Struthio camelus: one gene and its partners. The protein of the gene in region 1 interacts with the protein of each later gene in a biochemical or structural test. Links are inferred from orthologs where the notes say so. Each region holds a gene or a part of one and is shown on either strand. Other genes may lie near its edges.

Region 1 (3,811 bases):
CCCGGCTGAGGGAGCCGCCGTGGGTCGCGGCAGAGCGGGGACCCGCGCAGGGGGAGCACAGGAGGCCGGGGGGAACACAGGCAGCGGGGTGCATGGAGAGGAAGGGGTTGGGGGGCACTGGCTGCAGGGCACCAGAGGGGCTGTGGGGCAAGGGCTGTGGGACTCAGACTGTGTGACAGAGAGGGGCCGTGGGGCACTGGCTGTGGGGCCTGGGATGGGGAAGGGGCCGTGGAGCACTGGCTGTGGGGCTGAGGGGTACAAGCTGTGGGGCCTGGGATGGGGAAGGGGCCGTGGGGCACTGGCTGTGGGGCACTGGCTGTGGGGTACAGGCTGTGGGGCCCAGAGAGGGGAAGGGGCCGTGGGGCACTGGCTGTGGGGCCCAGGCTGTGGGGCCCAGAGAGGGGAAGGGGCCGTGGGGCACTGGCTGTGGGGCCTGGGATGGGGAAGGGGCCGTGGGGCACTGGCTGTGGGGCAGAGAGGGGCCGTGGGGCACTGGCTGTGGGGCCTGGGGGGGGGAGGGGCCGTGGGGCAGAGAGGGGCCGGGGAACACAGGCCCCAGGAGCGCCGCGCACGTCCCCTTTAAGGGCCGGCCGAGCGCTCCTCACCCACGCGGCGCTGCCGCAGCGTCCCCGAGCTACCCCCTGATTGGCCCCTCCCTCGGCGCGGCGCCGCCGATTGGCCGGCTGTCAGCGCGTCCGGCGCCGCCGGCCGCGGCCAATGGGGCGGGCGGCGCCGCCTATCAATCCGGCGGCGTCAGCCAATGGGGGGGCGCCGCCCGCCGCCGCTGCGGCGCCCGGCGGAGGGCGCAGCCAATGGGCGGGCGGCGGCGAGGCTCGCGCCGCTTTCGCGGCAAAAAGGATTTGGCGCGCAAAGGCGTGCGGGGCCGGGAGCGGCGGCGGCGGCGAACAATACCCGCGGGCGGCGGCCAGCCCGCGCCGGGGCCGCCGCGCCGCGCCCGCGCCCGCGCCGCGCCGCGCCGCGCCGAGCATGGGCCGCGCCCCCGCCGGCCGGCCGCGCCCCCGCGCCCGCGCCCTGCCCGCCGCGCCGCCGTGAGGGCCGAGCCCCGCGCCGCCGGCGATGTGAGCCATGGCGGCGGGCGGCGCGGCGGGGCTGGCGGCGCTGCTGGGCGGCGCCTCCCCGCGCCTCCTCATCGTCTCGGCGGCCGAGGAGCCCCCGGGCGGCGGCCGCCCCGACGCCGACCTCCTGCTCTTCGCCACGCCGCAGCCCGCCCGCCCGGGCGCCGCGCCGCGCCGGCCCGCGCTGGGCCGCCCGCCGGTAACCGCCGGGGACGGGACGGGACGGGACGGGGCGGGGCGGGGGGCGCGGACCGGGAACGGCGAGCCCGGGCCCCCGCGGCTGTGGCGGGGCCTCTAGACCGGCCCAGCGCCGAGCCGGGCTATGTCGTGCCGGGCTATGTCGTGCCGGGCTATGTCGTGCCGGGCTATGCTGTGCCGTGCAGCACAATGCCGTGCTATGTCGTGCCATGCAGCACTATGTCGTGCCATGCAGCACAATGCCGTGCTATATCGTGCCGTGGTATATCGTGCCGTGCAGCACAGTGCCGTGGTATATCGTGCCGTGCAGCACAGTGCCGTGGTATATCGTGCCGTGCAGCACAGTGCCGTGCTATATCGTGCCGTGCTATGTTGTGCTGTGCTGCACAATGCCGTGCTATATCGTGCCGTGCAGCACTATGTCGTGCCGTGCAGCACAGTGCTGTGCTATATTGTGCCGTGCTATGTCGTGCCGTGCAGCACAGTGCTGTGCTATATTGTGCCGTGCTATGTTGTGCCGTGCTGCACAGTGCCGTGCTATATCGTGCCGTGCAGCACTATGTCGTGCCGTGCAGCACAGTGCCGTGGAATATTGTGCCGTGCTATGTCGTGCCGTGCAGCACAATGCCGTGCTATATCGTGCCGTGCTATGTTGTGCCGTGTTGCACAGTGCTGTGCTATATCGTGCCGTGCTGCACCATGTTACGTGTGCCATGCTATGCAATGTCTTTGTGCACCGCACCACGCCGGGCCGGGCCGTGCCGAGCGGCGCCCCGTGGGGCGCGCGGGCCAGGCCCTGCCACGCAGCACACCTGCCAAGCAGGGCCCCGCTCCCCGGGTTGCGTCAGGCCGGCGGAGCCGCGGCCCCGCTGGGCGCTGCCTGCTCCGGAAGCCGCGCGCCTCCGAGCTGGGCCGGGTTCCTGCCTCCCCTCCTGTGCGGCGCATCTGCTGCGCGCCCGGGACGCGCTCGCTTCGCAGCGCTCCCTGGCGCAGGAGCCCTCCGCGGCCGGCCCCCGGCTGCGCCTGCGAGCTGGCCGGCGGCTCCCGCTCCTTGGCTCCCCCTGGACGCGCGCAGGGCGGGAGCGCCCCGGCATCGGGCACCCCTCTGCCCGGGCCGGTTGCCGTGCCGCGCTCGGTGCCGCGGGTGCGCGTTCCCCGCTGCCGCACGGTCCCTCGCAGACGCGCCGTTTGCCTGGCTGCTGCCGTGGGGCGCCTCGGTCCCCGCCGTGGCAGACGGGGGCGATGGGCCCGGCCAGCCCCCTCTGACGGGTCACCCAAAGCTTTTGTTGCAGGAGGCTGAGCAGAGCGCTGTGGCCGGTGCTTTTGCAGCCCCCTGGGCTCACGGGCTGCGTGGCGGTGGGCGCCCGGTGCTGCTCTGCTGGCAGCAGGATCGGGTGCCCTGCGCTTTCCCGGCTCCTGCCAGTTAATCCCATCTGTGCTGGGGCTCAGAAACGCTCTGGGGGTGTCTGCGTGGCCTTACACTGTGCCCGCCCAGGGAGCGGCGATGGGCGCAGGCAGCACCCCGGCTCTGCACCCCAGGGACACCGGGGTCGGGTGCTGTCACCTGCCCGGGGTGCCTGCAGCCGGCACAGCCTCCGCCGTGGCCCGCGGGCAGGCAGGAGGCTGCGCGTGCCGAGAGCCCATCCGTAGGGATGCGCTTGGGCTGGCCAGCTGGGAGGTGTGCGAGGCTGCGGCCGCAGGAGGCTCCGCACTGCCGAATCCCTGGTGTCCCCCCTTGCAGAGGTTCCCAGGTGGGGCCACCAACGCCTCCCTGTCGAGGGCGCTCGGCTGCTGGGGCCGGGCTGGGAGCAGACCCCTGTGTTTGAGCCGCGCGGGTGCCTGGGGCTCCGCATCAGAGCCGTGCGTCCGTCGCACAGAAGCGTGGACGTGCTGGGGTACGGCGATGTCCGTGCCGTCCGGTCCTCTGAGGAGCCACCCGTCTCTTGCAGGTGAAGAGGAAGCTGAACTTGGAGACGGATCACCAGTACATAGCAGAGAGCCTGCCGACGGCCCGGGGCAAAGCGAGAAACCCTGCGAAAGGTACTGGCTCAGCTCCCTGCCGGAGCCCGGGTCACAGCCCAGGCTGCGCTGCTGCTGGGAGCGCTGCCTGATCCCGGCCTTCGCCCTCCTCCAGCTGGACATGGGGGTCCACCACCGCCAGGATCGCACCCAGGCGGGCTGGACTGCGGCTCTGGGCTTGTGCCCTGCTGCTTTTACCCATCCCTCCGTGTCGGTTTGCAGAGGCTCTCGCTGGGGGCCGGGGCGTGCCTGGCCCGTTCTCTCTCTCCCGGCTCAGCTCATGCGGGCAGCAGCCCTGCAGGAGTGAGCATGGGAGGTGGCGTCCCCGAGGACAGAGCTGAGGCTGGCAGCATTGAGTCTGTCCGCGTGGGGCTGCGGGCAGACGTGGCCTCGCTGCACCCAGCTCCCAGCAGGCTGGAAGCGGCAGCGGAGCTAACAACCCTAGTTCTCCACGGGGTGCACGGCGCATTGCTGGGCTGACGCGCGTTTACGTGGCCCGGCGCTGATGCCGAGTGCAG
Region 2 (3,600 bases), on another chromosome or scaffold:
CTTTATTTAGGAAAAGTAATGATTTTTCAGAATTGAACTCTACTATAATAACCAGGATAGTTAAAGCCTCTCATTGCTGGTAAGCCTCCTCCTGTGCAATTGCGAGGCCTGGGCCTCTAAAAATTTTTTCTATAGTAAAACATTGCTAGTTAAATTAGAAATATGAAACCCTCTTCCATTCACTTCGGTAAAATAAAGCACTAAGATATTTCAACCAGTAATGGCATGTGCTTTATAAGAGAGAGAGAAAGAAGTTAAAGCCAGTTTAGGGTGTACTTGTGAAACATGTGCGTGCTTTTTTTATTTTTTAAATATGAATTAAACTATGCCTCTGTTATGGTGCTATGGAAACAACCAATGCACATTGACAATTTAAATGTTATAACTTTTTACCTAATGTTTTTTCATTAATTTATAGCTTTCGGTACTAGCTACCTATTGCACAGAAATATTCAAGGTCATTTTTAGGCCTGAGGTAAGCCACTTGAAAACCTGAAGAAAGCCTGTTCAGCCTTTATTTTTTTAAAGCATGAGAGCTCAAAATTACACTAACAGAACGCCACAGCTAAAAAGGGTTTATTTAATTACAATCATAAGATACATTATATTTACCCTCACTGAAGGTATCAACAGAGCACCCAAGTTTTACAGCTTGGGGGTGCACGAGGAACACTGAAAATTTTAACATTACCCCAGAAGAAACAAAGCCAACTCCTCCACAGGCCAGCTGTTTAGTAACAACTCTAAATACCAGGCATGCCAGGACCCGCAGTTCATACAACACCTACACAAAGGTCCGCCTTGTACCCCCTAACCGTGGCTCGCTCTGATCTCCACTAACGTTTCCCCAGGGAACAGAGTCCAAAGGCAAAAGGCACCCACGAGAAGGCGGCGACCCTACCTCCCTCGAGCCCCTCCGGGCATCCCCGATACCACGCAACTGGGCGCACAGCGAGGGCCATGGCTGCGAGCTGGCCTCCCCTCGGCCCCAGCGGCTTCCAGCGCCGCTCCCGCAGCCCTCGGAGGGCCAGGCCCCGCCGCCCCCGGCCCTTCCCGCCCGCGCCCCCCACCCGGAAGGCCGCGGGCCAGCACCGCCCCGTCACGTGGGCAGGCGGTTACGGCCCCGGCTGCAACCGCTGCTCGCAATTACACCCAGCGGCGCCAACGGCCGCCGCGAAGCCTGCCCCAGGGGCCCGGCCCGGCCCGGCCCGGCCGCCGCAGGAGCCTCCCCCCCCCCCCGCCCCGCTCCGCGGTGGCTCAGGGCGGGCCCGAAGGTCCCCGGCCCCGCGGCGGCGCCCGCGGGGAAGTGTGGGGCGAACCCGTCCCCGCGGCGCCCGCCTCGCCCCGCCCCCGCCCCTCCCCCAGGCCCGTCTCGACCTGCGCGATCGCGGCCCCGCCGCCGTATCCCCGCGGCGCGGGCGGCCGGACGGGCCCCGGCAGAGCAGCGGCAGCGCGGACAGTACCTAGCCGCTCCCCGGCGCCACCCGCCGCCGCGCAGAGCCAGCGGCCAGCCGAGCTGCGCCCGCGCCGCCGGCGCGTCCCGACCGCGTCACTTCCGCCGGGCGCCCGCGCGCCCCCCCCACCCCCCACCCCGCGGTGGGGGAGGGGGATGGGGGCCGCCTCACCTCTGGGGCCCCTCTGCCGGACGGGGCGGTGGCAGGCGGCGGCGGAAGGGCGGCCGGGGTGCTCGCCGCCTGGGTTTCGCTTCGGCGTGCCTGGCTCCTGTTTCAGACCCGGAGGAGGGCTCGTGTGTCCCGAAGCTTGTTCACTGGCTTCTGGCTGTGCTATAATCAGGGGAGATTTAATGAGAGGTCGTGCCCCCAGAGAAACCGCGCCTCGCTCGCCTCCTTAGTCACCTACGCCGTACCACCGCCAGCCCGCCCCTGGTTTTCACCAGCCTTCCCCGGAGGCTGTGCGCGCTGCGCAGCGCCGGGCCCTGGGCTACAGGAGTGGTGCCTTGGCGCGTCCCCCACCAGGACTCTCTCCTGGTCAGAGGGGCCACGTTTCTCCACTGGAGACCACGCGTGCCCGTGACATCCCGCTATTCCCCGACGGCTCCACCCCGGCCATCTCCCTGCACTCCTTGCCCCAGGCCTTCCCATTCCTTCCTAGGCTGTGTCACCGTGCCAGGCACCGCATCCCCCTTCCCGTTTCAAGAGCCTGGTGCGCCTCCAGTTTCTTCTCCTCATCAGAGGGCTTCTCCCTGGGCGTGCTCCTCTCCTTTCCAAACCCGGAGCCTCAACGCTACCCTCTTTCCTGCCTGCTCAGACACGAGGGGCTCCCACGACCCTCTCACGGCTGCTACTCTTCCCCTGCTTTTCTCCAACAGCCGCCACTCCAGGAAGAAGAAAAAGCACAGCACCCTGACCTCGCCAGAACTAACCAAGGCGCTAAACGTCGTGCCTGGCTAGGGACCCCACCAAACGCAGCAGACGAGGCTCCCCAGGCAGGACTGGAGCCGCGCAGGGACAGGCACACGGGCGCGACCCGCAGAGCCCACAGCTCGCCTGCTCCTGCCGGGTGGTGAGAAGGCAGAGAAGCGGCAAAGGCAGATGACAGCGGCAGCCGCTGCATTTTGCGGCGCGGCACGGGCCCGCGGCTGGAGCTGACTGCGGAGGAGGCTGGCGGGCGGCGGACGACTGCCCTCTGCCAGTCGGCGCCACCGCGCTCCCCAGCTGTACCCCTGCCCGGGGAGACGGCCGCCCCAACGGCCGCCCCAACGGCCCCAGACCCCGCCCCCGCCCGGCCCCAGGGGCGGGGCGCTGCCCGAGGCAGACGAGGCGCGGTGGCCTCCTGCCTTCCTAGAGCGTACATACGGCGAAGCGGCTGCTCTCCAGTTCCGCTTCCGGTGCCGCCATTTTGCCGTGAGACAGCAGCCGGCCGCCGTCGGGATGCTGTCCACCGCCGGCTACGCGGACCCCACACCCGAGCTGGGCTACCGGCTCGGCGCGCCCGTGCAGTACCGCTTCTCGCCCTACACCTTCAACGGAGGGTGAGGAGGCGCAGGCTGGCTCTGGGGTGGGCTAGGGCCCCCGCGGAGGGCGGCGGCGGGGTTGGTCTCCCTGCTGCCGCCCCCGGCCCTGCGCGAGGGTTTGTCTCCCGCTGTGAGCGCTTCTCCATGGAGAAAGGGGGCAGGGCCGGGGTACCCCCGAGTGTCCCGCGGGGTCCTCTTTGTGTTTCTGACGTTATTCTCTGAGGCTGTTGTTATGCTCGGGCTCCCTGAGCGTTACGGGTCAAAGTAAGCACTTTCCCTTCTCGATAGGGTTGTTCCTTTGTAATGGCTTAGGAAAGCTGTGTGATGGTCCCGTTACCTGCTTTTAAATCTGTAACTGCGTTGATAGCTACCTGGTGATGTTTTCTTGACACCCGCCCTAAGGTGGCGTCAGGCTCTGGCCAGCATGGTATTTAATTTTTTTCTTAATGCCGAACTGCTTCTTAAGGAATACCTGTTTGCTATTTAACAGTCGCTCACATACAGCTAGTTATTTGAGAACAAATAACGTAGGAAAATGTCAGACTAAAATAATGTTGTTATCTAAGCGTGATGATTTGATTGCTTACACTTGGCTGGACTTTTTTTGCTTGGAGAGACAAATCCTT
Region 3 (3,811 bases), on another chromosome or scaffold:
TTGACACTTGCAGGCACAGGAATACTAGGGGAAAAATTAGAATCCGACACCTGATTTCAGCTAGTTCTTGGCAATTTCTGACCCTGGCCACCAATTGTACAGCTCAGCGGAGTAGCTCTTTTTCACTTTTGAAAGAATTAGACTCTTATATATAACGACTCTCTGTTTCTGGAAAACATAGCTGATATCTGAAGCCTATCAGAGCTTAAAATGAGACTCTCCTATTTTCGGCCGGGCAGGCCGCTGCTGGAGTTGGCTGCGTGGGATTGCTTGGACTGAAGTGAAAATCTCCGGGCGGAGGTGGTGCGCCTCTGCTCCGCTTGGGTTTGTGCGAGGCTTTTCGGGGCCCTGCTCTTGCTGACACAGAGGTGGGGCGAGGTCCCTCGGGGTTTGCTCCCGAAACATGAGGGTGCCCGGCTCACCCTAGCATGCCAACGCTAGAAAGGCCTGGAGGTGAATTTCGGATGCAGCAAAACCTAGCGCGAACTTTCGGCGCGTGCCCCCACGCCCAGGCAGGCCTGCTGAGCCCTCCTTTTTCCGGAGACGAAGCCGCCTGCTGGTTTTGGCATATCCGCCATCCAGGCGGCCTTCAACGCCGCGGCCGGCTTCCGTCGGTCTCCTCCCAACCGCTCCCGGTATCTCCATCAAACGCCGCTAAGCTACGGTCCTCTCTTCGCTTCCGCCGGGCTCCTGCCTGCGCCAAAATCCGATGACACCGGCGGCGGGGCCAAGGCCGCCTCGGCCGGTGCCCCGAGCCGAGGGCAGCAGCGCGGCCGGGGCGGTTTGCGGCACCCGCCGGGCCGGGCCCCGGGCCGGCGTCTCCATGGCGACCCGCCGCCGCCGCTACCGCCGCCGCCGCCGCCGCCGCGTGGGTTGCCAGGGCCGCGGCGGCCGGGGGTTGCCGGCCCCGGCGTCCAACTGGCCGCAGCCAACAGCCGCCGCCGGCGCCCATTGGCCGCGGCCTATATAGGGGGCGGCGGGGCGGCAGCGCAGCGCAGCGGGCCGGCTCCACTCTCCAGCAGCGCTCCCTGAGCACCGAGGCGGCGGCGCCGCAACCAACAACTACTCGTCGCCTGTTTGCCGCTGTTGTCTCCCGCGGGGGCGATGCGCCGCAGCGGGGAGAAGAGCCGTGCGGGGCGGCCGGAGCCCCGCGCCGCCGGCGGGCGGGCCGTGCTGGGGGAGCTGGCGGAGAACGGGCAGCAGCAGCGGCGGCGGCGGCGGCCCGGCGGCCAGGTGAGCCCCCAGCAGCGGCGGGGGGGGGCGCGCAGGTAGCGGGGCTGGAGGGAGGCGGCCGCTGCGGTAACCGCCCCCGCCGGCGTGGCCCTGGGAGCGCTCCGGGCGGAAGCGCCTCCTGCAAGGTGAGACTCGGGGAGGCTTTGCCTTAGCACTGCCCCCGCCCCACGAAGGGTAGGGGGTGGCGAAGTTTAGGTGCCTGTTTGCTGGTGACCCAAAGGTCCCGTTGCTCCGCGGCTGGCCGTGATTCCTGGTGGGTGCCAGAGTACCCACCAGAAAGCTAAAGCTTGCAGAAGAGTGAGTGTCCTGGACCTTTCAAGCCCTCCTGAAATCAGATGCTGTGGCAGAAGCGTTGTGCTGGCTTGCTGGAGCTGAGGTAGCAGTTGGTGCCTATACAAGGGCTTTTTGCAGCTGTGACTGTGTAAAGCCCCTAACTCAGTTGATGGCTTATTACAAGTGAGTGATATTAAGCACTGCCTGCTGGTCACACATTGTAGTCCCTGGGTGTTGAGGTGTTGGAGTCCTGAGGTGCAAACTGTGGTTTGTAACTCAATATGAAGTGCCTCCTTTTATGGGAAGTCTTTCATGAGTTTGTGGTAGCTTCTGAAAACTTCCATGTGATATTTTAGCTTGCTATGCCTTGAAATAAGCACTGCTTGCAAAAACTGCAGACAGAGCAGAGCCCATACCTGCCACTGCTTGTTTCTGATGGGGCTGGCCTCAGCTGGCTTGCCTTTGCAGGCAGTGGTGAAGAGGCTATTCAGGACTCGCCTGGCTCTTACCTTTCAGTATACCTCGCTTTGCCTGTGAAGTGTCTACTATAGCAAGACAGTAACAAGCAAGATTTCTGAACTGCTGTTTGTAGCTCTGTGTTTATGGGGAGGTTTTTAATTTCTTTTGTTTTTTTCTCTTCTTGGTTAACTTCTAGAGTTTTGGTATCTGTGTTAGCCAAAGAAAGCAACTCCTCTTCCTCTCTAAAATAAGCTATAATTACTGTCATCTTCTGAACTGCCCTCTTGTAGCATTACTGTGTACTCTGTTCCAGGGTACTATGGTTATCAGACATTTCTCTGGCTCTGAAAACTGCTTCCCTCCAGCTGGAAAAGATGAATTGCCTAGCTGCATGGTCGATGCCACATCAAAGCAAGGGTTTACTATATATATAGATGAACCAGAACAGAAGGAAAACTACAACTGCCCAGTGGTTGAAGAGCTGGACTCTAGCCTGTGTGAACTGGATACTAGTGCAATGACATCCAATATTCACCTACTGTTGGATCTGAGTACAGGTAACTGTTCTGGCTACTAACCGAGTAGTATAGCAGAGATCCACATAGGGTAGCTATGAATTGTGGTGTTAGCACAAGCTAGTGATTAGCTTATCTTGAAATAAATAGCACTTCAAGATAACTGTGATCAACAATGCATCTGCTGTGTTGGAAATGACAAGAGTAAGGTGAGGAGGCTAATCAAATGTGTTGCTGGCTCCTCTAACCTGTTAGGGTCTCCTATGATAGTGGATACATCCTTCCAATCCCAACCTGAGGATCAGATGGGAGATGCAATAACTATAATGACTGTGGGAGAATATGCAGAAGACATTCATCAGTACCTCCGAGAAGCTGAAGTGAGTGATTTGTTACAAGTTTATAATTCTAAGGTATTTGTGGACTCTGTGATGAGCTGCAAAGCTTATTGCTGCCCCAAGATGACCCTAGCCTGCTACTGAGTTACAAAAGTGGAGAAAGCAGGTAGCAAAAACAGTCTTTAGAAGCTGCCTATGAATCTGGCTTCAGACAGTGATGAGATTTTGCAAATATTACTTTGCTTCCTGGAAATACTCATTGTTACAGCATCTTTTGACTCTTAAAGACAAATTTCCAGAAATAGTTCTTGCAGATGGGAATCAAATGCTGCAAAAAAACTAAAGCAGTTGGATGTGACCTCACTGACAGCTCTCCTGTTATCAGAGAGCTTTACCTTGCCACTTTGATGCAGAAGGGTAAGGAAAAGAACAACCTTCCAATAAGGAAGAAACCTGATTTGTTTAAAGTTACTTTCAGGTCCCTTTTTCTGAATGGCTTTTATGGCCTTGATGGCAAAGGCTGAACTTCAGTGTCCAAGAGGTCTTTTGCTATTCTGCTACTAACAGATTACTCCTGTCTCTTGTTAGCATGCAACTTAGTAGAGGTGCTATTATTTAATACGACTACAAGTAATAGCTAGTTAATACTAACTAGCTATCAATTGTTGAACTACTTCTGCTACTTTTGGCTTACTGGTGTAAGTGTGAAATACCTTAAACTCAGCCATCAATGGTCATCTTCAGATGAATGTCCTAATTCTTCACCTGTCTTTCTGAGCAGATAAGATACAGGCCAAAGCCATACTATATGAGGAAACAACCAGATATCACAACAGGAATGCGTGCCATCTTGGTAGATTGGCTTGTGGAAGTAGGGGAAGAATACAAACTTCGCACGGAGACGTTGTACTTGGCAGTGAACTTCCTGGACAGGTTTCTTTCCTGCATGTCTGTCCTCAGAGGGAAGCTGCAGCTTGTAGGAACTGCAGCAAT

The links.
Region 2: the proteins of E2F1 (region 1) and TBP form a complex in vitro, tested with the Homo sapiens proteins (2 studies listed by BioGRID). The link is inferred for Struthio camelus from reciprocal best matches to the Homo sapiens genes E2F1 and TBP.
Region 3: the proteins of E2F1 (region 1) and CCNA1 form a complex in vitro, tested with the Homo sapiens proteins (2 studies listed by BioGRID). The link is inferred for Struthio camelus from reciprocal best matches to the Homo sapiens genes E2F1 and CCNA1.

The regions. Positions count from the first base shown.
Region 1 is NC_090959.1:2,870,520-2,874,330, reverse strand, and holds the start of E2F1 (transcription factor E2F1), read left to right. Parts: upstream 1-1,086; coding exon 1,087-1,275; intron 1,276-3,223; coding exon 3,224-3,314; intron 3,315-3,811. UniProt on the Homo sapiens protein: Transcription activator that binds DNA cooperatively with DP proteins through the E2 recognition site, 5'-TTTC[CG]CGC-3' found in the promoter region of a number of genes whose products are involved in cell cycle regulation or in DNA replication.
Region 2 is NC_090944.1:92,254,941-92,258,540, forward strand, and holds the start of TBP (TATA-box-binding protein), read right to left. Parts: upstream 2,741-3,600; 5' UTR 2,384-2,740; exon of another isoform or gene 2,369-2,383; intron 2,361-2,368; exon of another isoform or gene 2,261-2,360; intron 1,785-2,260; 5' UTR 1,626-1,784; intron 1,568-1,625; exon of another isoform or gene 1,378-1,567; intron 1,062-1,377; exon of another isoform or gene 902-1,061; intron 1-901. Other genes in the region: PSMB1 (proteasome subunit beta type-1), read left to right, coding at 2,892-2,992. UniProt on the Homo sapiens protein: The TFIID basal transcription factor complex plays a major role in the initiation of RNA polymerase II (Pol II)-dependent transcription.
Region 3 is NC_090942.1:196,579,656-196,583,466, reverse strand, and holds the start of CCNA1 (cyclin-A1), read left to right. Parts: upstream 1-994; 5' UTR 995-1,104; coding exon 1,105-1,233; intron 1,234-1,326; exon of another isoform or gene 1,327-1,689; intron 1,690-2,278; coding exon 2,279-2,522; intron 2,523-2,735; coding exon 2,736-2,860; intron 2,861-3,599; coding exon 3,600-3,811. UniProt on the Homo sapiens protein: May be involved in the control of the cell cycle at the G1/S (start) and G2/M (mitosis) transitions. May primarily function in the control of the germline meiotic cell cycle and additionally in the control of mitotic cell cycle in some somatic cells.